4 linked regions of the Lepisosteus oculatus genome follow. The protein of the gene in region 2 purifies or fractionates together with the protein of the main gene of each other region. This does not show direct contact. Links are inferred from orthologs where the notes say so. Each region holds a gene or a part of one and is shown on either strand. Other genes may lie near its edges.

Region 1 (7,877 bases), on a different chromosome or scaffold from region 2:
CTGTGGTCACTTCTGTGTATTAGTCAAAACTGGGTTTTCATCCAAGTGAATGTACTTGTGTCACAGTTCCATTTGCCACTTGGTGAGACTTGGAAGAAATCTCAGTTCACCCCTTCAATTTCCTGTGGATATCAGAATGATACACAGGTGGCTTACAGTGAGACTAACTGCAGGTGTTAAAGTAGTAACCTCCAGAATGTATTTTATAGACTTTTTTTTTAAGACGACAGAAAAACAGCATATTACTAGTTGCCCACAGAAACATTTTTAGATATTAGCATAGTATTAAAAATTGAGAAGTGTTTCCAAAACCCAACATTATTTGTGTTTGCTTTGAAAGAGATTAGCATACTATATGTATGCATGTGCAGCTCTGAATATTCAGATTAAATTAAAATGCCCTGTGAGAACTGCTGATAATTAGGGGAGTATAATATATTCAGGGGTCAGTATACTAGTGACATCTTTTTTATCAGTGCCCTTGTATACTTACAGAAAGTGGTTTAGATCATTTCTCTTATATTCCAAAAAAGATTCTCAATCATAGACCTTTTTCTCAAAGATTACTTGCATATAACGAACACTCTGTGGTTAAAAACTTAATTTAACATCAGTGCAAGTAAAATGAATGGATTCTATTTAAGAAATAGGGAAAAAAAAATCAGTCTTTGGAATGATCGGCTTTACACTGTGAAATGTGCTGTGCTGCAGTACAACATTATAACCTGTGAGAAAAATGTTAATGGATTGTTTGCATTTATGCCCGATTCTGAATCCAGGGTTAGATTTTCCTTTCTCAGATTCGCATCGAACAATTATTTTAAAGCGCCTGTTTGGAGTAGACTTCAGGTCTAAGGTCAAACCGCTCGGAGGTGCCCAAGCCACTGGCTGTTTTTGTCAGATTTGTTTTGTTGTTGAGGGGTACAGGGAAGTTGCATTTTTGTAACACTTCAGGAAAAAAAAAATTGGAACTAAATATAATATGCGCACCGACGAATTAATTGTATTTTTTGTTTTAAATCTGCTTGGCCATTAGCAGAAAGACTAATGATTGGGCATCCTTCCAGCGAGAGCCTTGATCTTTCCAGGGGAATGTGTGTGGACATGCAAACTAGCTTTACGAAAAACCCCTCCATGCTGCAGGAAGCCTGCTAAATGTAGTTGCCACATACTTCCATCTTAATAATTTCACCTTCCTGCAAGGGAGATAATAATTAAGCTAATTTTTTGTTCAGCATTATATGCAGATGAAACAGCATAAAAAGTCCAAAATTAGGAAAATGAAATGCCTTAATATGGGTTACAACCCTCCATAGAACACAGAAAACCATTCAAGTCACACATCTTTAGTATTATATAAACCAGAAGCAATACAAACAAGTTTAACTCATTTCATAAAGGTAAACATACAGTGTAGTTGTATTCTACTGGTATGTAATGAGGTAGCCCATGGAATAATTTATTCCAAAACACAATGCCATTTTTGAACATAATAAGAGGACATTCAACCCATTTAGCTTATTGTGTAGTAAGTAGCTAATTCCTTAAACCATAGTATACATCAGGTATTTAGCTAAAATCATTTAAAATGGATTCATCAAGTATCAGCAGTTTTAACTGTCCATTTCTGTGCTCAATAGGTATGGTGATCAAGGAGAGCACATTTCCCTCAGCAGTGGATTAAGGATTGCTCTTTTTTACAGACTTCTTGCAGTCTTCATTTCCTAGCATTTACATTTTAACTGTCCTTTCATCTTTATTTTTATTTATTTTTTGAGATGGCACCCTGATAACTAAAGTTTGTGGGAGGAATAAGAATTGATAAAACTCAGTTTTGCTGAAATTGAATAAATTAATCATTTCTTCGAAGGGTATAGGAGGAAAATCCATCTCGTAGGCATATCATGTCATAACTGCCTTAAACAAAGATGATAAATGAATATGTCTAGAAGACAGAAACCAAATCTGGCTTTTGGGATAGATAACTAAGCCCACATTAAAGGAAAATAAAAAATAAAAAATGAGCCTACCTCTGAGACATTACCTTTCATAGTTCGTAACTCTGATAAGATGAATGCCTTGTTAATATAAGCACAGCAGCATTTTTAATGCTTACAGATATGAGATACACAATGCATAACAATGGCATATAGCTAGATTTTGTCAGAAACATGCATCTTCAACCAAGGCTTAGTTCCAAAGAACAGTTACTACATATGAGGGGGGACTTTAGCCCTCTTGAAAGGTATCCCCCCCCTATTTTGAGAAGTGTACCAAATATTCCCACAATCATATTGACCCCCTCTCACTCTTGTGGTGTCAAAGGGGTTGTGGACACCCTCTTGGGCATGGGCAGGCTCCCAAACCCAGCCCTTTTTAAAAGCTCTTTTGGGTTCCTTTTCTTCTTTACACACACTCTCCTTCAAGAGTGGTGATCACACTGGCCTCCCTCATCAGAGTAACAGGATACAAGACTCCACCTTCTGTTACTTCTAGTCCCTTTGCTTCAGAATATCAAGGTGACCAAGTTCATCCTGTTGGACTCACCGCCCCACACCCACACCCATACACCTTGACATCCTCATGCTGAACTCACAGCTGCCAGCACACCTCACTCTGTGCCCAGCCACCACTGCACTATCTCCCTAGAGGGTATAGCTAGATAGACCCCACTTGTTTGCCCCAACACCAATGCATCACCAGGGGGAGAGTCCCTCTACCACACAAGCCACTCTGGTGCACGCACACACACGCTAATCAAATCACAACTCACTCATCCAGCGGACAACAACAGCCCTGCTCTCACACCCTAGAAAGATGCTGTCCTTTTGAATCTTTCAGGGATCTCATAAAGCTCCGTTTCTTCTAATCAGTCTCCTCCCAGACTGACAGTCTTACTCTTTTCCCTCACAACTCCATCTGGAAATGGAGTTCTTCTCCAGCCCATCACGGGGTTTACTACAGCGGCTAATAAAGCCTCAGTTCACTCCTTCAAAGCGGCGCACTCTTCAGACATCGCCCAGTCTACAGCAGAGCATCCACACTCGGGGAAAGCTAATCTCCCTCTTCCTCTTCCTCGTCCTCTTCCTCGTCCTCGTCCTCGTCCTCGTCCTCGTCCTCGTCCTCGTCCTCGTCCTCGTCCTCGTCCTCGTCCTCGTCCTCGTCCTCGTCCTCGTCCTCGTCCCACCACCACCACCACCACCACCACCACCACCATAACTACAGCAAGACCAAACCCCTGTTACATCTTTTTCTCTTTTCAAGACGTTTTAAACCACTCCCACACCTGCCGTTCATTCCACTTATTCAGGCCAGGTGTGGTTTGCACGGCAACGCGTCTCCCTTAATCTGGGGCTCCGTCCCCCAGACCACAATCTACTTTAAAACATGGGCAGTTGAGGGAAGGCGTTATTCATTTTTTTTTACCAAAGTTTTCAAGTTTTTTAAAAATAATTTTAAAGGTAAGCAAACAATTGCAATACTTTATTCATCCCAAAGGACCAATTTAAGATGGTAGATAATAGTAAAAACCATGCTAAAGTTTTCATTTACAAAAAAAGCGATTGATTCATACGTGATATTATATATTATATAGGGGATATATGCGCAACATTGTAGTTTCCTTGTTCAGAACATATTCCTGAACCAAATTAACAGGAACAGTTTCAGAAAAAAAAAAGCTGTCTATGCTTGGATCACATCAGATCGGGTACGTGATTTTAATTTATAAGGACTTGTTTACAAAGACTATTCCAGTAAACAGGTAAAACTTGTACACCCACGTTTCCATGCTGGTTCACTGGCAGGGTAGTGTAATGAAAATGCGGTAAAATGATAAATTGATTTAATAAGCAAATATGGACTTTGAAGGCTCAAGAATGTCCCAAGCACCAGAGAGACCTCTACAGGTGTCATTGAGTATCTGCACGGTATGAATTGCTAATTCCCTAGGTCCTCCCACACACAATTACATGCGGAAAGACTACTGCTCATGCAGTTTTGAAGATGCAGTCTAACAACCTTTTTTTAAGTGTCAATATACAGTGGCATATTAATCCGTGTAAACGGTTGTATGCTATTATCAGCTATAGGTTTCACTTTTGCATATTTACGCATGGATGTATTCTACAACAGTATTTGGGGTTTGACAGATAATTCAACTTTGTATAATCTGAGTTGCATCAGGGTACTAAAGCTATTGTTTTCTATTAAATGCAGTTAGGCTGAATAGTTCTATATTCGAAATCTCAGCAACTTTGAGAATAACAATTTGATCACGGTCATTCTAAAAGCAGAAAAATCCCAAAACTATTAAACATCTAGATTAAAATTCACTCGAACTTTATGCAAACATGGGCCAATATTCTACGAGACCTCGGGGAAAAAAACATTTTATTGGAATTTCATTTTTTCAAAAACCTGCCTTCTGCCCTTTCCTTCTGCGTGCACAAATTAGACATTAAAAAGGTCTGTATCCTACAAAACATGAGAATGTAAAGTGTAAACATAATGCTAAATAAAGTACCTTTTCTCCAAGTACCAAGTTTTCTTTTTACCTTAATAAATTTATATTGCTCGGCAACAATTTATACCTTGAATGATACACAAATTCCCTATATAGAAGGAACACTACATCACTAAACGTCCTAAATTTTGAAATGTTTGCCACAACCATGTCTATCAAATAATGCACACAGACGGTCAACGTGTGGCGTTTTTTACACCATATTGCTGCGGTTAACAGTCTTAAGGTTAGATTTTACGGTGAGACTGATTAATACGATAACTTTATTTTCTGGAAGACCGTGGTCCAATACTGGATGGCCCCGCCCCCGATATTATAGCTTGCTTCCGGGACGGCCATTTTGTATTTTGGTGAGGAAGTGGGTTCCTTTGCGACTGTTTATACAGGTTTGTGGGCCATTTATCTTGAAATTCTGTTTTGCAGACGTGAAAATGTGTGTGCAATTCAGAAAGATACCAAATATCCAGTGAAGCTGTACTGTTCAATGAATTGTGATAGCTTCAAGCCGGTAATTGCGAGTTAGCCTCTATTAACTGGTGAGATACGGGTTTTTGTGTCTCTGCATACCACACTGCGATACTCTGGTGCTGCATTTCAGTTGCTTTGTAACTCAATGATATGATAGCAATGTTAGCAATATGTTTTCAGATATGTTTGAAGGTGCCACGCTCCGCACCTTCATTTAGATTTATTTTCTTGTCTGTGCAAACCTAAACTCTACACGCAAGAGGTTTTACAAGGGCATGAGTACGTGCAGATAATGTAGAAAACATGGGTCCAACTGAAAGAATGCTTCATTTTTACAGAGCCAAAAACGATTCTGGCAATTGTGCTTTAAGCTTTCATCGTTTATTCACATGCAAAATCCTCATCAGCTACTCAGCAGTAGCACAGCAAAAGTGTTGATCTTGAAAATGTCTACATAGTACAGTAGTGTTTAGTGTGCACTGAGTACTGCGGTCACGCACAGTGGGAGTTTTCAATTGATCTTTTGAAAATGTTGTATTCTAAGATGTATTTTATACGTGCACTCACACTTTTAGTGATATATATACATAGTTTCTGATTTTTCCGTTCCATGTTATTTTTTTTGTCAACATTTCATTCTTACACTTATCAGGAGTATTGTCAGCGCACGATGGGTGACATTAAAAACTTCCTTTACGCCTGGTGTGGAAAGAGGAAAGTCACTCCCAACTATGAAATTCGAGCAGCTGGAAACAAAAACCGACAGAAATTTATGTGTGAGGTATGCATCTTGTTGTATGTCCTGTGTACTTTTTTTTTTCAGGTTGACTTCTGTATGATCTGTTTCAATGCAAGGCAGAACAAGTAGGTTAGCCTTAATATGTGGATGGTTCTACATTTATCCTGCTGCTTTATAGGTGATTACAGCTTCTTCGGAGTCATCTTCTTAAACCTACTTCAAATATCTGACAAATAATTCATCAGCAAGACCAAAAATAGGGATTAGGAAAATGTAAATACTTCTTTCTCTTTAACAATGGCTGCTTTGTTTTAGACTTCCAGCAGTTTTAAAACGGATCAGTGGTTCGGGAAGCTTGCGTGTTGTCAGATTGCCGCTAAAATGTGCAGTTTAATTCACTTGTGTCCTCTCAGGTCCGTGTCGAGGGTTTCAACTACACTGGAATGGGAAACTCCACCAATAAGAAGGATGCTCAAGCCAACGCTGCCAGAGATTTCGTCAATTACCTTGTCCGTATGGGGGAAGTGAATGCTAGTGACGTCCCTGCATTGGGGGTTAGTAGGCGAATGTATTTGTAAATGGGTGTTAAGGTTACTGGTTAGTTGCTTTTATCCCAATGTTTTCTTTTGGTTTAAAGGCCAGTTTACCAGCCAGTGATTGTCCTGATGGTGGAGGAGGGGGAGGAGCAGGTGCAGGCAGCGGCGGCGGCTTTGGAAATCTGCCTCCAAACGGACCTATTCCTCCACATCTGATTGTAAAGGCTGAGCAAGGTGAGATGCCAGGAGATCCCTGGAGCAAGTAATAATGGGGACTGATTACACGTGGTTGTCATATGAACATATCAGACTGCCACTTGGCTGGCAGATGGATAATTAGAGCTTAATAGTGTTTTCTATAGGTAAAAAAAGAAAGTGTGTGTGTAGTGCTAATGGTATCATCTATTAACAGTATAGTGACAGTATATACTAAACTGATGGACAGTGATATGGTAAAATGATTGTTGATTTGACCAGGAAAACTTCGTTGTACACAACTCAGGTTCTGAAGCAGGACCTAGCTCGGGACCTGTTCCAGGGGTGACTGGTTTGGGCTATTCTGGTTTTAACAATGCCCAGTGGGATCGTGGCGCCAATCTTAAGGATTACTACTCAAAGAAGGAGGAACAAGAAGCACAAGCAGTAAGCCTTATTAATCCATTATTCTGCAGTTTTCCAAGCTGGTTAACAGAATGGTTTTCAAACTTCATTTAATAAAGGAAAACATTGATGCATTCTATTTTTTCGGTCTAATGTAAGTAACTTTATGATACTTGACATGAGATTAGTTTCTAGAGAATCTTTATAAAGCTATGGGTCAAATTTCCTTTCAGACTTTCCATAGAGAAGGTGCTTCCATAACCCTTTCCTTTTAAATGTTACACAGATGTCCATTATTACCAGTAACTCCTGCTTTTTTTTTTTGTCTTGTAGACTCTCGAGTCTGAAGAAGTTGATTTGAATGCTGGGCTTCATGGTAACTGGACTCTAGAGAATGCCAAAGCCCGTCTGAACCAGTTCTTTCAGAAGGAAAAGAACCAGTCAGACTACAAATACAGCCAAGTTGGGCCTGACCACAACAGGTCTGGGGGATCCACTGGAGGTTCTTTTGTCAGAAAATGTTTTTTGGTCATTTGTCCATTCCTTTGATATTCAGCTTTTCACCTTTTACTAGTGTTATGTGAACCATGCTTTGAGTGAATAGTGAAAAATGTTATGGCAGCATCTCTGTTATGCAAATGTGATGATGATATGAAGTTATTTAAATGAGGAGCGTTAGAAGCTTTTAGTTTTGGCAGGTCAAGAGTTCTTAAGACTATATAACACTATGATCTTATTAATGCATTTAAACTCAGTTATAACTTTTTGGCTAAGTTACTGTGAAGCAGTTTTAGTGTTTTTCTAAGACATCGGCTTCTGTATCTGCATAAAAGTGTTGAAATGTGTATGCTGCTCTGCTGAAGCTGCAGTGTTTCTGTGAATTGATAATGTCCTAGGTGGGCAAGCCTTAAATCAAACTGTCTCCACTCTTTTGTGCATGTGAAAGGGTTAGCTGGGTTTGAATTGCAAAAACATAAGTGTCCTGATTTATAAAGTAAGGCAGTGGCTC
Region 2 (7,830 bases):
GAGTGGAGAGGGTATCGCCCATGTCCAGTCAAAAGCTACAGAGAGAGACAGAGGGGAATATACTTATTGCAGTATCAGACCCATCACAAATTCCAGAGACACAGACAGACAACACACACAGAGACTTTAACAGCTCCTGTCCACAGACAGACAACACACACAGAGACTTTAACAGCTGCTGTCCACAGACAGACAACACACACAGAGAGATTAACAGTTCCTGTCCACAGACAGACAACACACAAGAGACTTTAACAGCTCCTGTCCACAGACAGACCACACACACAGAGACTTTAACAGCTCCTGTCCACAGACAGACAACACACACAGAGACTTTAACAGCTCCTGTCCACAGACAGACCACACACACAGAGACTTTAACAGCTCCTGTCCACAGACAGACCACACACACAGAGACTTTAACAGCTCCTGTCCACAGACAGACAACAGACACAGAGACTTTTAACAGAGTGACACGCTCCAGAGATTGAGAGAGATAAACGGACAGAGGCAAACATCGTGAGAAGGAATCAAGGTTAAGACTTTGCCAGAAACTACATCTCCCAGAAAGCACTGGGGGGGATGGTGGGGGCAGCCACCCTCCGCCACCTGACCAATTGGGAGGCGGGCCACTGGTCAGGTGACAGTGGAAAACCAGGAAGCGGAGGCGGCGGTGGCTGATACGCAGGAGAGGGCTGTTGTCTGGGCAGAGAGGCAGGTGGAATGGACCCGAGAGGGGGACCCAGGGATCTCGGGACTGGACTGGACTGGACTGGACTGGACTGGACTGGACTGGAGAGGCGGATCCGGTACCTGCCCGGTGACGGGCTCCAGCTGCTGCAGGGTGGCCAGCACGAACACGGCCGTCTTCCCCATCCCGGACTTGGCCTGGCACAGCACGTCCATTCCCAGGATGGCCTGCGGGATGCACTCGTGCTGAACTAGGGGGGGGACAGGGAGAGGGGGGAGTCAGGAAGACAGAAATACAGACTCGCTAATGGAACAGAGCACAGCATAGACACTGCGCTGGACACTGCTGTCTGGACACGGCCCTGGGACCCGCTGTCTGGACACGGCGCTGGGACCCGCTGTCTGGACAGTGTGCTGAGCCCTGATATCTGGACACCGTGCTGAGCCCTGATATCTGGACACTGCTGTCTGGACACCACACTGAGCCCTGATATCTGGACACCACACTGAGCCCTGATATCTGGACACTGCTGTCTGGACACCACACTGAGCCCTGATATCTGGACACTGCTGTCTGGACACCACACTGAGCCCTGATATCTGGACACTGCTGTCTGGACACCACACTGAGCCCTGACAGTGACAGTGGCCGTGTCTCTGTGAGAGTGGCCGTGTCTCTGTGAGAGTGTATGTGAGATAGGGTGTGTCTGTGTGAGGGTGTCTCTGTGAGAGTGGCTGTGTCTCTGTGTCCCTGTCTTACCTTCAGACGGGTGCTCGAACCCGCAGTCCACGATGGCCCTCAGGAGCTCCGGTTTCAGCAGGAAGTCCCGAAAGCCCGAGCTGTGGATGGACACGTAGGAGCCCTTCACCTCCTTCTTGACGGGGAGCAGGTCAGCCCCGTCTCCCCCACCTCCACCTGCCTCCACCTCGTCATCCTCATAGTCCAGGAGCTCGTTATCAACATCGTTCTCAGCCATGGTATTACCTAGAGGGAGAGAGAGGGGCTAATACACCCTGACTGGACACTCCAGTACACTAACACTGCACTGAGAGAGAGAGGGGTTCATACAGACACACTGACTGGACACTCCAGGACATGAACACTGCACTGAGAGAGAGAGGGGTTCATACACACACACTGACTGGACACTCCAGTACATGAACACTGCACTGAGAGAGAGAGGGGTTCATACAGACACACTGACTGGACACTCCAGTACATGAACACTGCACTGAGAGAGAGAGGGGTTCATACAGACACACTGACTGGACACTCCAGTACATGAACACTGCACTGAGAGAGAGAGGGGTTCACACAGACACACTGACTGGACACAGCAGTTCCCTAAACACGTCTGGTTAGTGATCCCCACAGGAACAGACTGCCATTTTTCACACAGGAGTGTTCACAGCTGTGCGTGGCGGAACAAGGAACCTTAACAGAGTGTCTCGCCACCCTGTTACTCATTTAGACGAGAACATATGATCTTTTAAATGCAGACGTGGATCCGCACTCGTTCAGGACCTGCAGTCTCTGAATCCAGCAGTCCCACTGAAGGCGGTGTTTTTGCGGTCACACACGCACGAAGATCTGTACAATAGTACCGCCAACCTCACCGTGCTGTGGAGGGGACATCTTGTCCCGGGACAAACGGGCTCCGACAACAACCAGCCCGTCGGTCCCTTTCGACCGATCGAGCAGCACGACTGACAATTTCCAGATCCGTGTTTTTTTTTTTTAAACTAGCGGATGTAAAACCGCGCCGGACGTGAGCGAGATCGGGGCTACACGGGGGATCACCCCCCCAACTCCCACTCCCACGGACACGCGAAAGCTCACGGGACGGGCTCAAGCCGTGTCTCCGGACCGGACCGGACCGGACCGCGGGCACCCCGAGTGGGTGTAGGGGCGTTAGGAAATCCGATTTTTTCCCGTCTGTTCGAGGTTTTTTTTGTGTGTGTGTGTGTAAAACTACAATGGCCCAGTGCGGGTTTTTTTTTTTGTTCTTTCAAAAAGACGGGCCCAGTCGCGCCACCCAGCAAACCGCCCTCACGCGAAAAACAAAAATTCCCTTCGAGAGAGGAGTCACGCCGACCAGCACGGAGAAGAGGCGGAAGAAAGCGGTTTATGAGGAGAAAAAAACCCGCAAACGGCGCGTTGAGAGGAGGGGGCGGGTGGTGGTTTTTAACCGTGAAATAAAACGCGTTTACCTTCGAATGGTTTCTCCGTCTCTCGCAGCAACGACTTCGGGGCGTTTGGTGACGTCACTCGGGTGCGCCGGCGCCGCGACCCACCGTCCCCCTCCCTCCCGTTTTCCCATGATGCACTACGCGCAGGACTCCCGTCTTTTTCCCCTCACAACCTTTTATTTGTTTTTTTTTTTCCAAACAAAACAGAAAGGGTGTTCACAAATAAAAACGCACAGACACAGAACGGCACGCGGCCAGAGGTGATTATAACCTAGCACACAATCAGTGAACATCTTTACAGACGTGAGGTGTGTTTTTCCGGGTTTTTAATGGAAATAATGTTTCGCTTTCACCATACAAAAACATTGACGGAGGGAGAAGCCTCAGATAATTTTGTTTCTGATTTCTACCCAGACTATTAATAGATTCATGCATAAATGTTCTTATATAGTTCGTATTACTATAAAAAGCACTTAGATACGGACACTATAGAATAACAAAACAAAGACAAAAAGTGTTTTTTAAATGCCGGCGCGCATTGAACGTCACTTCCGTTGCCGGGCTGACGTCATGCGCCCCAGCAGTCCGCAGCCAGGAAGAGCTCTCGACTGTGTTTGTGTTCTGCGGACGACACGTGTCTCGGCGCAACAGCGAGGTGAGGGCGACAGCTACCCGCGACTGACCTCCGATCACGGTAGGGACCCCCTGATATAATGCGGAATAGGCGTTATCTGGGACGGTTACAAGGACTCTTAACTCGGCGGATGGTTGTTCTTAAAGACCAAGTTGGAACGGCGCCTACAAATAGCGAGTAAGAGACCGGGTCTGACGACCTACAGGATCAGTGACCACAGCCTGGACACAGACACTGGTCACAGGCAGACCTGGCTGTCCAGAGAGGACAGGCTCAGTGACCACAGCCTGGATACACACACTGGACACAGGCAGACCTGGCTGTTCAGAGAGGACAGGCTCAGAGTGACCACAGCCTGGACACAGACACTGGATACAGGCAGACCTGGCTGTCCAGAGAGGACAGGCTCAGTGCCCACAGCCTGGATACAGACACTGGACACAGGCAGACCCGGCTGTTCAGAGAGGACAGGCTCAGAGTGACCACAGCCTGGACACAGACACTGGACACAGACAGACCTGGCTGTCCAGAGAGGACAGGCTCAGAGTGACCACAGCCTGGACACACACACTGGACACAGGCAGACCTGGCTGTCCAGAGAGGACAGGCTCAGAGTGACCACAGCCTGGACACACACACTGGACACAGGCAAACCCAGCTGTCCAGAGAGGACAGGCTCAGTGACCACAGTCTGGTTGTAAATTTTAAAGAGGCCAGGTTGTTCTCTGATAGTGGAATTTAGTCTGGGTTTCGAGAACGGGGTCGTGGCGGTGCGCGCCGGTCGCCCCGAATTGATCGGTTCCCCTCCGCAGCAATGTCAGCAGACGCCCTGCCCGGCTCCTGTTTCCACGGCGACCCGCTGTTCTGCCCGGAGTGCGGCACCGTGCTGCCCGTCCCCGGCGTGGAGGACGTGGTGAGCTGCCGGCGCTGCGGCTACGACATCGGCGTGAGCGGTCAGTGGCTCAGAGCAATTGATTGATTGATTGATTGATTGATCGATTGATTGATTGATGGATTGCGTTTCCCTGTGGGTGGCGCTGTTTGGCACCAACTAACCTTACCAGACCCCTGGACTGACTGGACCAGAGTCACAGACCCCTGGACTGACTGGACCAGAGGTCACAGACCCCCTGGACTGACTGGACTGGGGACACTGACCCCTGGACTGACTGGACCAGAGACACAGACCCCTGGACTGACTGGACCAGAGGTCACAGACCCCCGGACTGACTGGACCAGAGTCACAGACCCCCGGACTGACTGGACCGGGGACACAGACCCCCGGACTGACTGGACCGGGGACACAGACCCCTGGACTGACTGGACCAGAGACACAGACCCCTGGACTGACTGGACCAGAGGTCACAGACCCCTGGACTGACTGGACCAGAGGTCACAGACCCCCGGACTGACTGGACCAGAGGTCACAGACCCCCGGACTGACTGGACCAGAGTCACAGACCCCTGGACTGACTGGACCAGAGGTCACAGGCCCCTGGACTGACTGGACCGGGGACACAGACCCCTGGACTGACTGGACCAGAGTTACAGACCCCTGGACCGACTGGACCAGGGACACAGACCCCTGGACCGACTGACCCCTGGACTGACTGGACCGGGGACACTGACCCCTGGACTGACTGGACCAGAGTCACAGACCCCTGGACTGACTGGACCAGGGACACTGTCCCCTGGACTGACTGGACCAGGGACACAGACCCCTGGACAGACTGGACCAGAGGACACAGACCCCTGGACCGACTGGACCAGGGACACAGACCCCTGGACTGACTGGACCAGAGTCACAGACCCCTGGACTGACTGGACCAGGGACACTGTCCCCTGGACTGACTGGACCAGGGACACAGACCCCTGGACTGACTGGACCAGGCACACTGACCCCTGCTCCACCTGTGTGAGAGGGGATTTGCCCCAGGAGTGTGCAGGGCTCAGTCCCTCAGGAGTGCCCTCTCTCCCCCTCTGTGCTGCAGAGCTCGCTGACCAGGTGGTCACCTCGTCGGTCGTCTTCAACAGCCTGGAGTCCAGCAGCACCGCCATGATGTCCGAGGAGGAGGGAGAGCTGAAGGGCCCTGTGGTGAGTGTCCTGGGGTCGCTGGTCCCTGACCTCTGACCTGGGGTCAATGGTCACTGGCCCCTGACCTGTGTCCTGGTGTGGCTGATCCTTGACCTGTGTCCTGGGGTCACTGATCCCTGATCTCTGACCTGGGGTCACTGGTCACTGGCCCCTGACCTGTGTCCTGGTGTGGCTGATCCCTGACCTCTGTGATGGGGTCACTGGTCCCTGATCTCTGTCCTGGGGTCACTGATCCTTGACCTGTGTCCTGGGGTCACTGATCCCTGATCTCTGTGATGGGGTCACTGATCCTTGACCTGTGTCCTGGGGTCACTGATCCCTGATCTCTGTGATGGGGTCACTGATCCTTGACCTGTGTCCTGGGGTCACTGATCCCTGATCTCTGTGATGGGGTCACTGGCCCCTGACCTCTGTGATGGGGTCACTGGTCCCTGATCTCTGTGATGGGGTCGCTGGTCCCTGATCTCTGTCCTGGGGTCACTGGCCCCTGACCTCTGTGATGGGGTCACTGGCCCCTGACCTCTGTGATGGGGTCACTGGTCCCTGACTTGTGTCCTGGGGTCACTGGTCCCTGACTTGTGTCCTGGGGTCACTGGTCCCTGACCTCTGTCCTGGGGTCACTGGTCCCTGTCTGCAGTTCTTCTGGGTTCTGAATGGACCAAGATGGACTGACACGCTGGGCCCTGATAGGCTGCCTTGACCCCCCTGGCCCTGCTGAATCCAGGTCCGCACACTGACGGTGGGGGGGGGGTGACCCCTGACCTATGACCCCTGACCCGTGTCTCTGCCCCCAGATTGACCGCAGGTGCTCTCGCTGTGGCCGGGAGGGGATGGTCTACCACACCCGACAGATGAGGTCCGCCGACGAGGGACAGACCGTCTTCTACACCTGCACCCACTGCCGGCAAGTCGATCAGTCACCCGACCAGTCTATCGAGTCGATCAGTCACCCGACCAGTCTATCGAGTCGATCAGTCACCCGACCGGTCTATCGAGTCGATCAGTCACCCGACCGGTCTATCGAGTCGATCAGTCACCCGACCGGTCTATCGAGTCGATCAGTGACTCGATCAGTCTATCGAGTCGATCAGTCACCCGACCAGTCTATCACGTCGATCAGTCACCCGACCGGTCTATCAAGTCGATCAGTGACTCGATCAGTCTATCACGTCGATCAGTGACTCGACCAGTCTATCGAGTCGATCAGTCACCCGATCAGTCTATCCAGTCGATCAGTCACCCGATCAGTCTATCAAGTCGATCAGTCACCCGACCAGTCTATCGAGTCGATCAGTCACCCGACCAGTCTATCGAGTCGATCAGTCACCCGACCGGTCTATCGAGTCGATCAGTCACCCGACCGGTCTATCAAGTCGATCAGTGACTCGATCGGTCTATCACGTCGATCAGTCACCCGACCGGTCTATCGAGTCGATCAGTCACCCGACCGGTCTATCACGTCGATCAGTCACCCGACCAGTCTATCGAGTCGATCAGTCACCCGACCGGTCTATCGAGTCGATCAGTCACCCGACCGGTCTATCGAGTCGATCAGTCACCCGACCGGTCTATCAAGTCGATCAGTGACTCGATCGGTCTATCACGTCGATCAGTCACCCGACCGGTCTATCGAGTCGATCAGTCACCCGACCGGTCTATCGAGTCGATCAGTGACTCGACCGGTCTATCGAGTCGATCAGTGACTCGATCGGTCTATCACGTCGATCAGTCACCCGACCGGTCTATCGAGTCGATCAGTCACCCGACCGGTCTATCGAGTCGATCAGTCACCCGACCGGTCTATCGAGTCGATCAGTCACCCGACCGGTCTATCGAGTCGATCAGTGACTCGACCGGTCTATCAAGTCGATCAGTGACTCGATCGGTCTATCACGTCGATCAGTCACCCGACCGGTCTATCGAGTCGATCAGTCACCCGACCGGTCTATCGAGTCGATCAGTGACTCGACCGGTCTATCGAGTCGATCAGTGACTCGATTAGTCTATCGAGTCAGTCAGTCAATCGGTTGAGGACAGGACAGGAGGCTCTCCTGTACACAGAGGGGGGTGGGGGTGGGGAACAAGCCGCCCAGTCCGTGTGGTTGAAGCCGATACCCTGGCTCCTCTCCAGATACAGCTGGGTGAGCTCCTCCAGTCAGGACAGGAGGCTCTTCTGTACACAGAGGGTGGCGGGGGTGGGGAACAAGCTACCCAGCCCTGT
Region 3 (6,851 bases), on a different chromosome or scaffold from region 2:
GAGACACACACAAGGTGTATATCCTACAGCATTCCTAAATTCTAGCAGTGTTACAATGAGATTTATAGCCCACACACAGCTGTGGTCACCCGAGTTATTACCATGAACGGCTGTTTATGAGTGACCATTACCAATCGGATTGGGATCATAGAAAATATTTCTACCTATGGCACAGTGGCGGTTCCTGATTAAGCTATCCCTGCCTTTCAGTTACTCCTGAGGCGTCACGTACAACAGCAGGCGTCTGTTTAAAATGCACTCAGGCCAGGTCAGGAGCAACGACCCCGGGCCAGAGTCAGACTTCCACAGCACCACCCTGAGAGGAAGACAGCCCCGATTCGGGCCCTGTGACAAAGTGTGAAGAACCAGGAAAGAAAAGTGGAGATCGAACCTCCGCACGCAAGCAGAGGGAGGGGAGCCCCTCGTCCTCCATTACCTTGGAGAGTTGGGGTGCAGAGGCAGCCTTGGCGGCAGTCTTCACAGCCCCGGAGCCCCCCGAGCCGCTGTCGGGTCGCCCTCTGTCCCCGCCCGGGCCCTTACTGCCTCCCGCAGCCTTGGGCGCAGTGGCCGCAGACCTGCTTGCTTTCTTCATGATGGGCTCTCGACTTCTGATACATTTACAGCGCAATCTGTCAAAGGCAAGACGGGAGAATCAGTCGGTTTAACAACATTAGCCTTCTGCGCTCAGGGTCTGTACATCATGGCCTCTCTTTATACCGTATCCTTGTTTATTTAGCAATATTACTTCGTCCGACAGTTTTGCAATTCTGTGTGAATGCATTGGCCTGTTTTCCGATTTGTTATTGTCTGCTGCGCCGTATGAGGTTATGAACCCCGATTCTGCCCGGACTAGAATGCAGTCTTGCCCTGCCCACTAGGGGGAGCCAAAGGAGGGGCTTATAGTTTGTGCCTGTCCGCAGCCAGTCGTTTTTTTTACTCTGCTCTCAGCTGCTGCTTAACTCTCAGACTTTTCTCTAAGCTGCGTTTCTATGCTTTCACAGTATTTTGCTTGCTGGACAGAGCTTAGCTTTAAATTTAACTTTAGATTTCCATAATATGTCATTTCATTATCTTTGTGAACACCTTTCTCTTAGTGCAACTCCATCCCCGGCAAGTTTAGCACGCGCTTATTAAATCAACTAACATAAAAACGGCTTTGATCTCTTCAGACAGGGCTTGTCCAACATTCTGTCGTTTGTTTTTAAGACCAGACTAGCCAGGTCATTCTAGTCCTCACACAGATTTTACAGGATCTTTGTCATTACACAGTCTAATCCACGAGTTTGTATTTTTAGCTCCCTTCTACAACCAGGCACAACCTTGGGATGGTCCACTAGGTGGCAACAATAGGCCAGATCTGCAAAAGCAAGAGAAACTATTGGAAGTGTATTGTAATCAAACAACCAACTTCTGGCTACCTGAGCCATCTCCCGCTCTGAGAGAGAAAAGTCGTTAAAATATCTGCACAATAACAAAGGACAGTAGTAAAAAGCCAGAAACAATGTTTCTCTATAAATAAATTAAAAGCTACTGCAGAATAGACAGTGGGTTCGTTATTCCCATTTTTCTCATTACAGAACATACGTAATGTACTCCCTGTGCCCAGCTGAAGAAAATGGAATAGATGGGGTCCGACCATGATCTTATTGCGTGAGCTTTGTAGTCATCTACTATATTTTGCATTGAATCTCTGTCATTAAAATGTAAGCCTTGTTTCTTTGGTTTAAAAAATTGCAAGCATCAGCAGGGCGCTCCTATAGCGCGTAAGATCTCAAGTGCCTTTCAGGTGAAAGCACTGTTTGGCTGCAGGCACGCTGCCCTAGGTTACCATATTGTTTTTGCTGTTTGCCCAAGAATCAGAAGACAACAGAACGAAAATCCACCTGTCAGTTGCAGGCTTAGCCTAATGTTTCTCAAAACGTGTAAGGCAGAGTACAAAACAGTGGCTGCATCTGCAACCTCTTATGAGTCGACACCATTGGCTAATATACATTTTACTGCCAGATTAAAAGCAGACAGGAAAAAATTGAAGCTGCTGAATTCCAGACAAAATTAATGGTCTCAAAGCCTGGGGAAAAATAACTATGATAAATATAATATGCCTGAAGAGACAGACAGAGTACAGGGGGAGGGAAGAAATTACACTTTTCAAAGCCAGGCTCTCTCGGAACATAAACGCTGTGCGATCTAATTGGTTAGAAATGGATCCGAAGCCATGGGCTTGTGAAAGTATATGTCAGGCATACTTATTTATGGCAATGTAACTTACACCATCTTAAAACAGTTTAGTTCTGCATTTTCTTTCCATCGTTGAAGCAACATCGATTTCTGGAGCTCTAAAAAATCATCTGGAAATGCTACAGAGGCTACAGTACAAGAACTGCCAGAAATGTATGAAGGTCTTATCGGAGATCCATGCAAATTGGGACATGATTTCACTGCATAGGGTGCCATTCTTTGTAAACCATTACTGTAGAGTGACATTACAGCTCGACCTTCCCCGATCCCATGAATCCTTCTCAGTCCTGCCCTGATGGGAGAAGGGCAAAAATCATTTGCTCCCATTTTTGTAGTAGTGCTACCAATAGAAAACATTTCTCCAATCTGATTACGAGGCACTGTTTGGAAAGAGTACAGTTAATATCACAAAGCTGAAAAGTCCACTAGAGAGATCTCAGACACTGCACAAATATTTTAAATTTTATTGGCAAGGAACCATTATGGAAATAACAGCCTATATACAAGCAAAAAAATGAAGTCTACACCAGATAAGTATACATATTTTGCTGCCCAGTCTGTAGGAGAAGTATTTAGATTACCTCTGCCACAAGGATTAATTAAGCATGATGGAATTTACCTGCTGGCTGCAGACGTTGCTTTCCTTGGAGAGCACATTGGAACACAGCACTGCTTCCCAGGATAGATCACAATAAATAAGCAATGCTCTCCAGCTCAGGGAGTGCGTCTATATACACGAATGGACCAGGACATAACCGCCGCTGGCGAGGATTTGAAGAAACACAACCTGTCTCATTGGAGAGCTGTCTGGGACAGCCATGCCAGGCAGGCGGAGCTGGGGGCTCCTTAAAAGGATCTAAGAGCTGTTGAAGCCGAGGAGCTGATAAGGCAGGCCCAAGCTGTACAGGATAGCACAGTGAGGGCAAAAGAATTTGGGCAAGACACCTCTCTGCTACATGCCACTGTCGTCAAAGTGGATGAAAAAAAAGGGGGCCTTGTGCTTTCTCTATGGGTATGAACACACTCACCCCACTGAATGAAGCTCTGATTCCTGTTTCCAGTTGTAAGAACTCCACTTTAGACTGGCATGGCAAAAGGAGGCAAGGGTAAATACCCTTGATTAAAATGTCAAGGCAAAACAAGGCATTTCTATCTAACATGGCAAAGCGACTTTGCCATCGGCAATCCAAAGTTGATGTCTTGAAGTTGGTCTACTTTACACGTTTTAAAAAAGATTGCAAGGACATAACTTTCACCTTTGAACACATGCACTTAGACGTTCATCATTCTAATATTGGGGCAGCTTTCAGTTGATGGGTATGCTCCAGGTACAGAGCCCAAGCCTTCGGGAACAGGCATAGTGTGCGATACACATTTTAACCACCTGTCTTGCTGCCCCATTTGTTTCAGGAGGAATGTTGGTCTTCTTGCATATACTGTATTAATTATCAGTTTGTGAGGAAAGCAAATGAAGGAAACTAATGTACCTGCAAGAGAAGAAAAGAACTCTTAACTTTTTTATCTTAACTCTTAACTTTTTTAAATTTTATCATTATCAGATGCAAAACAGTATTTTCATCAGAAAGTAGGCTGATCTGCACTCTGATGTGTAACCGGAATAACCTGACTAATAAACACACAGGGGAAAAGAAACCATTCATGGCAACTTCTCCCTGGGAACACTTTTAGGATTAATGGAGTAATTGTTTCAATTATTAAAGGCTTCTCATGGCTAGAATTGAATAATTGTTGCCATAACCGAAGAAACTTTTTCAAAGCTCCTTTTTCATGCAGTTTTGTACATTTCAGTGTGTAGTGGAATGCTTTGTACTAAACCTCTGGTTTCCTAGCCACACTGAAATGTTAATAGTGCGCCAATCCACTTACAGATCTTTAAGTAGTTAAAGGTAATATGGGTCAGGATGGTTCTGAAAAGGCAGAAATCTGGACCAACTTATGAATTAACATAATTTCGAGGTATGAACTTTGGATTTATAAAGAGCAACAATAACTCTTGCTTTGATGGAAAATTAACCCAGATCATTGAATGTACAGTAGCTGATTTGATCATCTTGGTTTCTTCTATCAGTTTACAGTAAGCCAGCATAGATGCCATTCATCTTTGTATCAAAATTACAACCATCCCTATATCACCACAATCGCTTTCATTTCGGTCTGTGTGTGAATAATCTCTTGCACCGAACATTCAAGTTTTCTTTTTAAATCCATTTTTTAGCTCTGAAGTCCCTGGGAATGAGTCAGTACTACCAGCAGGGTTGGAAATGTTTTTTTTAAAGGACTGACAAACACTGGACTTAGTGTATCATTACCCATGACGCCCTGGAAGCACAGGGAATGAAGGCAGAGCCTGCGCTGTGGTGTCAGATTCAGGCCTACAGCAAGGCTGCACACATGGCCAATACCTCCACAGATGCCTGGCAACATATCTGATGCACTGCGGGTGCTGTCATTGGTAGCATCCGATTTTTCTGACCAAGAAATGGAAAATATTGGATAGTGGGAGCCAAGTTTTGTAGGCCTTTCGGTGTGTAAATATGTCACAGATTTTTCCACATTGTACTGTACCTCTCCATATAATATCAGTAGACGTGGTAATTGCACAAAGCAAACATTTAGGCTTGTGAAGTGGTAAAATAAGTGCTACATACCGTTTTCCAAAACTGAGACGAGAATTCAGAGCCCTTTTCAATGCCAGTCCAAATCACCCCCACATTTTATGATAAGTGAATGACATTTAACATACTGCAAAATCAGCTTTGTTTTTGGTGTTTTACTTTGTTTTGGGCGTTTTAAACAGAGTTTAAAACAGGCTTTAAACAGATTAACAAAACAGTATCAACAGCAGTATTGGAATTTCTTCATGAACAAGGAAAGCAGTCCTTGAGTTTACCAAGAATAGTTGGTACTGTATCCCAATAGAATCTTGCGCACTGTACCTGCAATATCTGGTCACTCATCTATTATACTTTCTGTTTTAATTCTGAAGATCCATTATATTCCATACATAAAACCAGAGCTGTCTTCTTTCAGTAAGTCACAGACCATATGCAGACAGCGCCTTATTGCAATGGGACAACCCAAGCTTTCACGCTGAATCTTGTGAAGCCCAACTCATTGAAAGTATTGCTTCCATAAAAACAAAAACAAAGCATTCTGAAACCAGGAACTGCTGTGTTTTCTACAGTAGCAGAAAGCACTAAGATCACCAGACAAGGAAGTTTCAAGCATGTGAAGACAGGTATTTCACCTTTCAAACAGAGAAGTCTTTTACATTTGCATTGCTAACAGCCTGTGGGAGCTAAAGAATTTCAGTTCAGTAAAAATCATGAATAGTACAAATATTTCCAGAGTCTGTAGACAGGCTATGTCGGTTATGGAGATAGACTGGATGCCTTCTGAGGTGAGAGATTTAGGGCTACAGTAGACTTGTATCACTAACAGGAGACATCCGACAGAAGTCTTGTTATATTTTGTCTAGAGTTTTAAAATGAAAAATAAACCTATCCTCACCCTCACTGTGACTGGAATTCCTCACTAAGAACCCCCAGAGGAGTTCACAATGTCCCTGAGTTCACTCTGTACTCACGATTTGTTTAGATAAAAGAAAATAAAGGGTGACCTAGAGACATAAGGCCAGCTTTTCTTAAAATAAAAGCTTGTGCTTAAAGCCTCCTGGCCAGTCCAGCCTATTCTACAGAAATGCCAGTAACTTACAAAATCAAAACTGTGCTGTTATCTCATAATCAAACTAAAATCATCCCAGTACTGACACGAGTAGGGATAGCATTTCATCCCTCAGCATTAGCCACTCTCAAGAGCCTGAGAGAGCTGAAGCGTTTCTCATGCCACACATTCCTCTACCTTGGAATCCTACTGCTCTTACATAGACTAAAGCATTTTACACCATCCAGACAACACCTTCATCTACTTTTGTACACATCAAGGCTGACAAAAAAACCTGGAACAGAGTCTCAGTATTTGAGTCTACTGAGGGCCCCTTTAAAGGATAACTCTGAACAAGACTTGTGTACATTTATTCACTTCTTACCGGATATCCAGGCTGTTAAGCACATATGATAACCTTTTTTAAAATAAGTTTCTGTTGTCCATTAGCAGTTATTGACAAATGGGCCTAGTTAGCAACTATTACAAGTTTTGGGTAAAATCGAACTTTAGGAATAATGAAATTCTTTTGAGACTTGAATTGAGTGAAGCCCTATGCCCTCCTCAAATATACACAGCAGACAAAAGACCACCCCAGAAAACAACAGTATTCACAGAAGGAAAACAGGAGAGGCCCATATTCTTAGACAAAAGTTCAGACATCATCATATATTCGAAGCTCTACAGGAACCAATCCTGCAAATAGCTATAAATTATTCACCTCAGCAGAATGAAGCTTTCCTTTGCCTGCGCTCTCCATTTAAGGGATTGTCTGCCATTTCATTTTAAGGGAATTACTAATGGGTCAACAATCATGTTTAATTTAAGATCCTGCATTGTTAAGTAAAGCCTAAATCTCTGCTCCTTCAACTAAAAATTGCTGTGAACAGAAAGTTCCATCATTTAACACTGATGGGAGAAAATGTCAC
Region 4 (7,239 bases), on a different chromosome or scaffold from region 2:
CATTGTGAGACAGGTAAACATTCTAAAACACTACAAAATTCTGATGTGCATGCTTCTCAAATCAGGCATTGCATAAATGAGAATATAAATGAGTATAAAAATACTCAACATGGCCTGCTTTTCATGCCACAGTTAAAATCTCTTGTGATCTGAAATTAAAATTAACCCCAATTTTAAAGAAACAGACACATTTATCAAATGGGATAGAAATACAAAATGAATTACCCTACCTTTGAATTACTGACCCCTACATTAAGACAGTTAAATGAAGATGATGTTTTAAGACGTAGGCTTCCACATCGCAAAGAACACGAAGGATTAAAACGAAGACAGCCACATAATTAAATACATGTTTAAGAAAAGCTGATTGTTAGTTCCGCACTTTCACAAACATACGTCCATCAAAGAAAAGCAAAAACGTTCTGGTTAAGCAACCTAATCTGAACCAAAGACGACAAAATCGACATCTCGAGTTTAAAAAAAACTTCTCAGATTTGTAAACGATCGAAACGTCTCATCCCCATTCCTCTTTAAAGCGACAAATTCAATTTCTAACGATGCGCAGGAATTTGACGGTGACGCTGAAACTATAATGAACTGCGTTCTCGAAAGGGGTTGCATGTCAAAACTCAAGGTCCGTCAGAAATGCCTAGATGAAAAGCATGGATAAACGCGCCATTTTAGTCGCCTGCATCCTCAAGAACAGATCGATATTCTTAAAGCAAAAAATAAACCCTTCGCTCCCCACTACTTAATCTGCAGATGACTCAATGTAAGTGAAACTGTTTAGATAAGACTATTACCCCCCAAATACACTAACCGAAGACCCAAAGGGCAGACGTCCTTCTAGCAGAAACCCTACATTATGCGAGCTGAGCCCCCGCCCCCACCCCCACCCTGCCCAGCTGCTCTGGTCTCCTCGGCTTTTCTTTGTTACCCCTTTTACAGAGGAGACCCAGGGGCATCCGTGAATCCGTGAGCCATTCACTTACGCGGTGGCACTTCAGATTTAGCGAAGGCCACCATGGTCCTTACCGGCTGTATTTGCTTTCTTCGATAAATTCAAAGTAGCCCCTTCCATGTTCTTCACGGCGTCTCTTTACACCCTTCTTATTCTTCTGTTCACCTTTCTTGTCTTTATCAGCGTCTCCTTTGAAAAATAAAACACAACATGAAGAGGGATACCTCAGCGTTTGAGCCGAATTGTTACATGGCGGCCACAAACTGCTGCATGTTTTTGTTAAGACTACAGCGCGTTTGGTCTTTTTTTGTGACAGAGAAGACCAAAATTGTAAAGACATTTTTTTCCAAGCTTTATGAACATTCCTCCTCCCCCCCACACCATCGTTGCTCTCCATGCCGGTCAATGTACACGGCATTTACTACAAACAACGCATTTCAAGTTTACTTTCTCCCAGGAAATATTTGCAAATTGAGACCTTTCTCGCCGTTAAAAGCTCCAGCCTGGTTTTCCCAATAAATAGACCCGATTCCCAGTTCAGACTGCGTCTGAAATACGTGGGCAATAAGCGCTGTACACGTTGATAAAATCGGATTTTAACCTTCCCTATCATTTTTCAAAACCGCTACTGCCCACTAACCGTTCAAAGGCACAGATTTAAAAATAAAAAAAATCAGTCCGGCGGGAATATGACGCCTCAAACCAGTCTAAATCTCTCAAACAAATCGTCCAAAACAAACAAAAAAAAAGCCTCCGAAAACTTACAGCCGACAAAACAAAAACGAAAGTACAGTAAAGTCCTGCCACTACAGGAAGGCACGGAACGGAAGGACTAGGCCCGACACGGCTTGAGCAATGTCAGACTGAAGCGCACACGACAGGCAACCGCGGGGAAGAGAGCTGGAGGAACATCCGAGACGTCGCGGGGGGACACAGCTAAAGCCGAGACAGATACACATCCGCAGGCCCGGCCCGTCGCCCACAGAACAATGGAGGCGAGGCGAGTCGCCGCCGCCGCCGCCGCCTCCGACCAGGGCCACCATTTCATCTCGCCTGGCAGCACCATGTGGATCTTTGTCTGGAAAGCGCCGACAAAACCACAAATAGCACCCCGCGTCATTCGCGTCTGACCTCCAAAACGCGTTTGCAGAAAAAGAAGAGAAAAAAAACGAACGCCCAAACTGCGCCTTCGTGTCCGAAGACAAGGCCCCTATCGAAGCACGTCTAACAATTGTTTGGCCCGTATTGTTAAGTAACAGCCATCAATTGCGCCTTCTGCTCCGACCGGCAGGGCTGGCGTAAACACGTGATGTTTCGGGTCTTAGTTAAGATGGGGACTAACCTTCAGCGGGCTGCGATCCTGGTGCCCCATCTTCCTCTTCGAATTTGTCCATTTCTATCCCGGCATCTTCATCATCCTCGGATTTATCCATTTCGACTCCCGCGTCTTCCTCCTCTTCCTCCCCCATCTCATCATCCTGCCCGCCGACATCTGCGCCACCGCCCGGAGCAGCAGGAGCAGCAGCAGCTGTGGCGGCGGCGGCGGCGGCGGCAGTGGTTTCGGCTTCGGCTTCAGCTTCGACTTCTGCTGCGTCCGCTTCGCCCCCGTCTTCCTCCTCCTCGGCCTCCATGCTCTCGCCGGCCAGATCGTCCTCCAGCTCGTCGCCCATCTCATCGAAGCCGCCCGCCCCATCCGATCCCCCCTCGGCCCCGTTCTCCTCGCCTCCGGGCCCGGTGAAAGCGCCACCGGCTTTGGCCTCCTCGTCGAGTGCGGCCTGCAGCCGGTCCATCAGCTCGGCCTTCAGCCCCTTGTCAGAGAGCCGGCGCTTTTTCAGCTCGTCCTTCAATTCGTTTACCTTTAGCTTCTTTACGTTGATTGCACTCATTTTTCCCGTTGGATTTCCGCTCGAAGCTCGGGGATATACAAATATTTTTTTTTTTAAAAGAAAGCCCTGTAGACAAAGTGATACAGAGAAAGCAAAGCCGCCTAGAATTTCTACTGCGCCAAACAACGCTCGTCCCTCTCTGTGCGTCTCTCCCACTGGCAGCTGCGCGGCTATCTAGCGCCAGTTGTACGTAATACACTCTTACCGTATTCATGCGAAAGGAGGGAGAAATTGGGCGGTGACTACCGTAATTAGCCGACAACTGCGACGACAGTTTCATTTGGTACAGTGTTATGCCTGCATATTTTTAGCTTTTGTTAGAAATGTATTAAAAGTTAAGAAACAAATCTGTTGTGCTTAGTAAAACAGCAAACCGGAGTTTATTAGCGTTTTAATTCTGAGGCTTTTCTAATATCAGTGCATGGTCCAGTAAGAATGCACGATCGTGTGCAAAGTGATCCAAGATAAAAAGCCGAAAGTATTTTAAATTCTACATTTTTTTTTTTTGCAGAGCAGAGATATTAGGAAAGTGCGATTGTTCCTTGATGTTTCTGTGAAGCACAACATATTCTAAGCGAATTTCACCAAGGGCCACATGTATTTCGCAATGTACAGAAAAGAAAGAAATAGTGCAATGTTGTAGCTATGCAATGTACAATAACAAATAAAAAAAAAACACGAGAAGACCATTTGCGCGTGTTATTCTGCATAATGCAGCGTAATAGTTTTGGGGGAACAAGCAGTGCTCCCCAATCCTCCGCTTGTCTGCATTTTAGTGGTCCATATATACTTCATCAGATGAGGCAAAGAAACGTTGTCAAATTATGTTGACAGATAACAACTTGCTTACAAGAAGATGATATTTTCTATTATTTTCACTCACATACATAACATGGTGGTTAGCAGTACTGCTTCGTTACTCCAAGGTTCTGAGTTGAATTCCATTTGGGAGCATCTGTCTGTGTGGAGTTTGCATGGTTCCTCCGTGTGCACTTGGAGTTTTGCAGAGTGTTCTTGTTTCCTCCCACCTTCCACCATTCAGGTTGGGTTTCTTTGGCTGCACTGAATTATCTCTGTACAGGGACTGAGCTCAAGGGGATTTCATACTTGAGAGGTTTGTTCTTAGTATTGCCAATGGGCTTTTAGAGAAACACAGACAACCAAACACTTCATCCACTTCAGGGTTGTGTGGGGGGGCTGGAGCCCATCCTGACAAGCAACAGGGAAAGGTAGGGTACACCCTGGACTGGACAGAAGTCAATTATAGGATGAATCATAGATACAAACAAACACACACTTACAACAACAGAGTCCATTCTCCCTGAAGCCAATTAACCTCCCAGTATGTCTTTGGACTGTGGGATGAAACTGGAGAACTTAAAGGAAACTCATTTGAACACAGGGAGAACATACAAACTCCACACAGATAGCACCCAAGGAACTGAACCAATGGCCCCAGCACCACCTCAACACACCATACAACTGTTTCACTTCAAACATTGAATAATGGAATACTACCATGAACATTTTCATATGAAGGTGTACAGACATTATACAGTATTTGCTAACATATCCAAATCCCTTCAAAGTCAACTAAAATAAGTTTAGTTACTGAAGTGAAAAACGTCTTGAGTAGAACAGAAAAGTATATGATTTACACAATGTGTGGGTCAGTGTTGCACATTTCATTAAACTAGAATGCAAATTTATCAGAAACTTTAATGTTTGTGTAGTTTCTGTTTGATGCATTCAAAGAGACAAACCAATACTGGTAACTGGAAACTGGTAAATTGTCACAACAGACAAGTGTTTATGTGACATTTCAAGTATAAATAAGTATCAGAAAATCAATACATTGCCACACAAGGCAGCTTAAAATATGAATTAAAAAGTATTTGTGAATTTTGTCCTACAGTTGTCATTCAATGGGGAAATATTCCATATTCTAACAACATTAGCCCAAATGTACATCAAAAACTATTTAACTGAATTTATGAATGTATCTTAAAATATCAATTGCTAACATATTTAAATAAGGTGATTATTTTATTTACATAGTTCAATTAATTTGTCCTCATAAATTTGAACAGCAGACATATTTTCTTTCGAAGAAATATACTGTTTAGAATTAATTTCCTTTACTAAAACGTCGTGTTGGAAATTATAAATACCTTCGTTGGTATCATTGTTTAAATTTCTCAATTTTTGAAGAAATCAGTCGTGCACCATATTTACATTCGTATTGATACATTATTTTAACTTTCAGTAGAACGTATTTAGATACATATCCTGGAAAACTTTTTTTATTGTTATTGCAGATGCCAATGTACCGTACAGTTTACTAATTGCATAGAGCATGTTTTAAGGATCCAAAAGTAAAGTTGCTACAACTGAAGTCTTGAGGGGAGTTGGGATAGCATTAGGTCTCCTAGCAACTGGAAGAGCAGTGAAACATGGCGGAAGACAAGGATACCGCAGGTATTGTAGCACCACTACCGATCTTTAGTTTTTTGTTATAAAATACTTTCAAGCATGTAGCATGTTTGACCTTCTCCGAAAAATACATTTTTGATTAATTTTATAAATGTACAAATAAGTGTCTGCGAAAGACATGATAACGTAGGTCATGCAGATTCACATAAACGTTACCTGCAAACTTCACTAAGTAAAATCTTGTTTAGTAGTGTACTTAGTTTTACTGAGCAAACCGTTCTGAGTACTGTACCTATTTTTACTGATCAGACGATTGTTTTGACAGGCACATTAGAAGGAACGTAAAAACGATTATGTTTTATTGTCTACCCCACACTCAACTTTCAAACTGTTGAGGGTCTATCAGTAGAAAGCAGTAGCAATAATTAGTCACATGTACAGTGTTGTTAATTTAATAGAAAGTTCGATTAGGTTCTATTTCGCGATGAAATGAGATGAACAACCAGCCATATGATTAAACCATATGATTACAGACGTAAATCTTACGATTCCTTCAGTCGTTTTGCTTTTTGACTACTGTAGTCTGCATTGTTTAAACAAAAGTAGTTTATTATTTAAAATGACTCCTCTTCACATAACTGTAGTCATTTTGGTATGTATTATTGGACTTTGAAGGTTTTGTACTGCAGGTAGAACTGAGACTACTTCAAATTAAAGCTTGTTGGCACATTTTATTTTTGCCTTTTAGACGCAATACTTGCTGCTGTTCAGAAAAAGATCAGCGGCGCTTTTGACGTGTTTGACCACGAGTCCAACAAGACGGTGGATGTGAGGTTTGGGCAACAGATAAACGATGCATTTCGCGAATTGCTTTTCTAATTTTTCAATGGAAAGAACCCATAGATCTCAGAGCGGCAAAGGCAGATACAACATAGGTTTTATCTTTAAACGTCATGTTTACGTTTAGTTAAACGTGATGAATATTTGTTATAAAACAAAGTATTTTGTAATGACAAATGGGTATCGCCACACCAAGCTTTTTCCAAAGCAGGGGGTTACATAGCTTCAGCCTTTCTGGGAAGTTTGCTCTAACATAAATCTAGTCTGTTTTATTAAATAATGTTATGAAACAGTCAGCCTGCTCGTGGGAATAGAACAGGCTTTAAACCACATACATCTTTTGCTGTTAGTTAACATTTTTGGTGCATATAAAATTTCATTAACAAGCAAATGATTTGAGCTTTTTTTTACATAAAGCTTTCACATACAGTATGCACATTTGTAAGAGGTGGGGGACATACCGTATCTATGATGGAAATGTCACAAAGCACGGGAGCGTTTTAGGTGCAGTATTCAACGCTCAATCGATTTTAACTAGACGTTAATAAATCGGTATCAACGTACTGTAGTACTGTACCTCACTTGTTACTCACCTGCGCTTTTCAACCAATGGGTGATTTAACACCGGCAAGGGTGTGACCGCTATCACGATAACGAAAAACATTTTTTGAATTTATATAGAATTTATATAGTATAAGGATACGTTTTCAGTATCGTTATCACTTGTAATTATACACATTGTGACATTTTGTTTGATGTCATTTTAAATGAAATATGTTGGTGTTCATTTTATAAGAATAATTGAACAGGTACAGTATACTTCATTGCATTGGTGTATGATACATTTTAATCAGAATGCAGGTAGTAAAATCGCAATGTATCCTGTTTTTTGTAGGAAACATAATTCAGAGATTTGTAATATTTTGTTTACGTAGAGCAGATGTAGAGGTTTAAACAGATCTAATGTTTTTCATGAATTAATTTAGCATAATCTAAATGCAATATAATTTTAAAATGAGTGTTTTTGGAAACCTCATATGTTAACCAGTACTTAAACAATCTTGTGTGAAATTCTTATTCAAAACGCTTTGGAGAACACCCATTTTGTGTAACAAAACT

What was found.
Region 1: the proteins of ddx39b (region 2) and dhx9 purify together in Homo sapiens (affinity purification with mass spectrometry, with the first as the bait; 3 studies listed by BioGRID). This does not show direct contact. The link is inferred for Lepisosteus oculatus from reciprocal best matches to the Homo sapiens genes DDX39B and DHX9.
Region 3: the proteins of ddx39b (region 2) and specc1la purify together in Homo sapiens (affinity purification with mass spectrometry, with the first as the bait; 3 studies listed by BioGRID). This does not show direct contact. The link is inferred for Lepisosteus oculatus from reciprocal best matches to the Homo sapiens genes DDX39B and SPECC1L.
Region 4: the proteins of ddx39b (region 2) and hnrnpua purify together in Homo sapiens (affinity purification with mass spectrometry, with the first as the bait; 3 studies listed by BioGRID). This does not show direct contact. The link is inferred for Lepisosteus oculatus from reciprocal best matches to the Homo sapiens genes DDX39B and HNRNPU.

Annotation. Positions count from the first base shown.
Region 1 is NC_090704.1:7,602,323-7,610,199, forward strand, and holds the start of dhx9 (ATP-dependent RNA helicase A), read left to right. Parts: upstream 1-4,863; 5' UTR 4,864-4,911; intron 4,912-4,962; exon of another isoform or gene 4,963-5,061; intron 5,062-5,645; 5' UTR 5,646-5,663; coding exon 5,664-5,774; intron 5,775-6,145; coding exon 6,146-6,286; intron 6,287-6,369; coding exon 6,370-6,502; intron 6,503-6,770; coding exon 6,771-6,910; intron 6,911-7,201; coding exon 7,202-7,350; intron 7,351-7,413; exon of another isoform or gene 7,414-7,877. UniProt on the Homo sapiens protein: Multifunctional ATP-dependent nucleic acid helicase that unwinds DNA and RNA in a 3' to 5' direction and that plays important roles in many processes, such as DNA replication, transcriptional activation, post-transcriptional RNA regulation, mRNA translation and RNA-mediated gene silencing.
Region 2 is NC_090709.1:41,005,880-41,013,709, reverse strand, and holds the start of ddx39b (DEAD (Asp-Glu-Ala-Asp) box polypeptide 39B), read right to left. Parts: upstream 3,006-7,830; 5' UTR 2,902-3,005; intron 1,676-2,901; 5' UTR 1,668-1,675; coding exon 1,451-1,667; intron 942-1,450; coding exon 814-941; intron 1-813. Other genes in the region: polr1h (DNA-directed RNA polymerase I subunit RPA12), read left to right, coding at 3,406-3,574, 4,327-4,467, 5,506-5,609, 6,404-6,513. UniProt on the Homo sapiens protein: Involved in nuclear export of spliced and unspliced mRNA. Component of the TREX complex which is thought to couple mRNA transcription, processing and nuclear export, and specifically associates with spliced mRNA and not with unspliced pre-mRNA.
Region 3 is NC_090717.1:9,929,513-9,936,363, forward strand, and holds the start of specc1la (cytospin-A), read right to left. Parts: upstream 3,014-6,851; 5' UTR 2,896-3,013; coding exon 2,858-2,895; intron 630-2,857; coding exon 437-629; intron 1-436. UniProt on the Homo sapiens protein: Involved in cytokinesis and spindle organization. May play a role in actin cytoskeleton organization and microtubule stabilization and hence required for proper cell adhesion and migration.
Region 4 is NC_090697.1:23,072,049-23,079,287, forward strand, and holds the start of hnrnpua (heterogeneous nuclear ribonucleoprotein U), read right to left. Parts: upstream 3,021-7,239; 5' UTR 2,848-3,020; coding exon 2,304-2,847; intron 1,151-2,303; coding exon 1,036-1,150; intron 1-1,035. Other genes in the region: efcab2 (dynein regulatory complex protein 8), read left to right, coding at 5,301-5,325, 6,029-6,113. UniProt on the Homo sapiens protein: DNA- and RNA-binding protein involved in several cellular processes such as nuclear chromatin organization, telomere-length regulation, transcription, mRNA alternative splicing and stability, Xist-mediated transcriptional silencing and mitotic cell progression.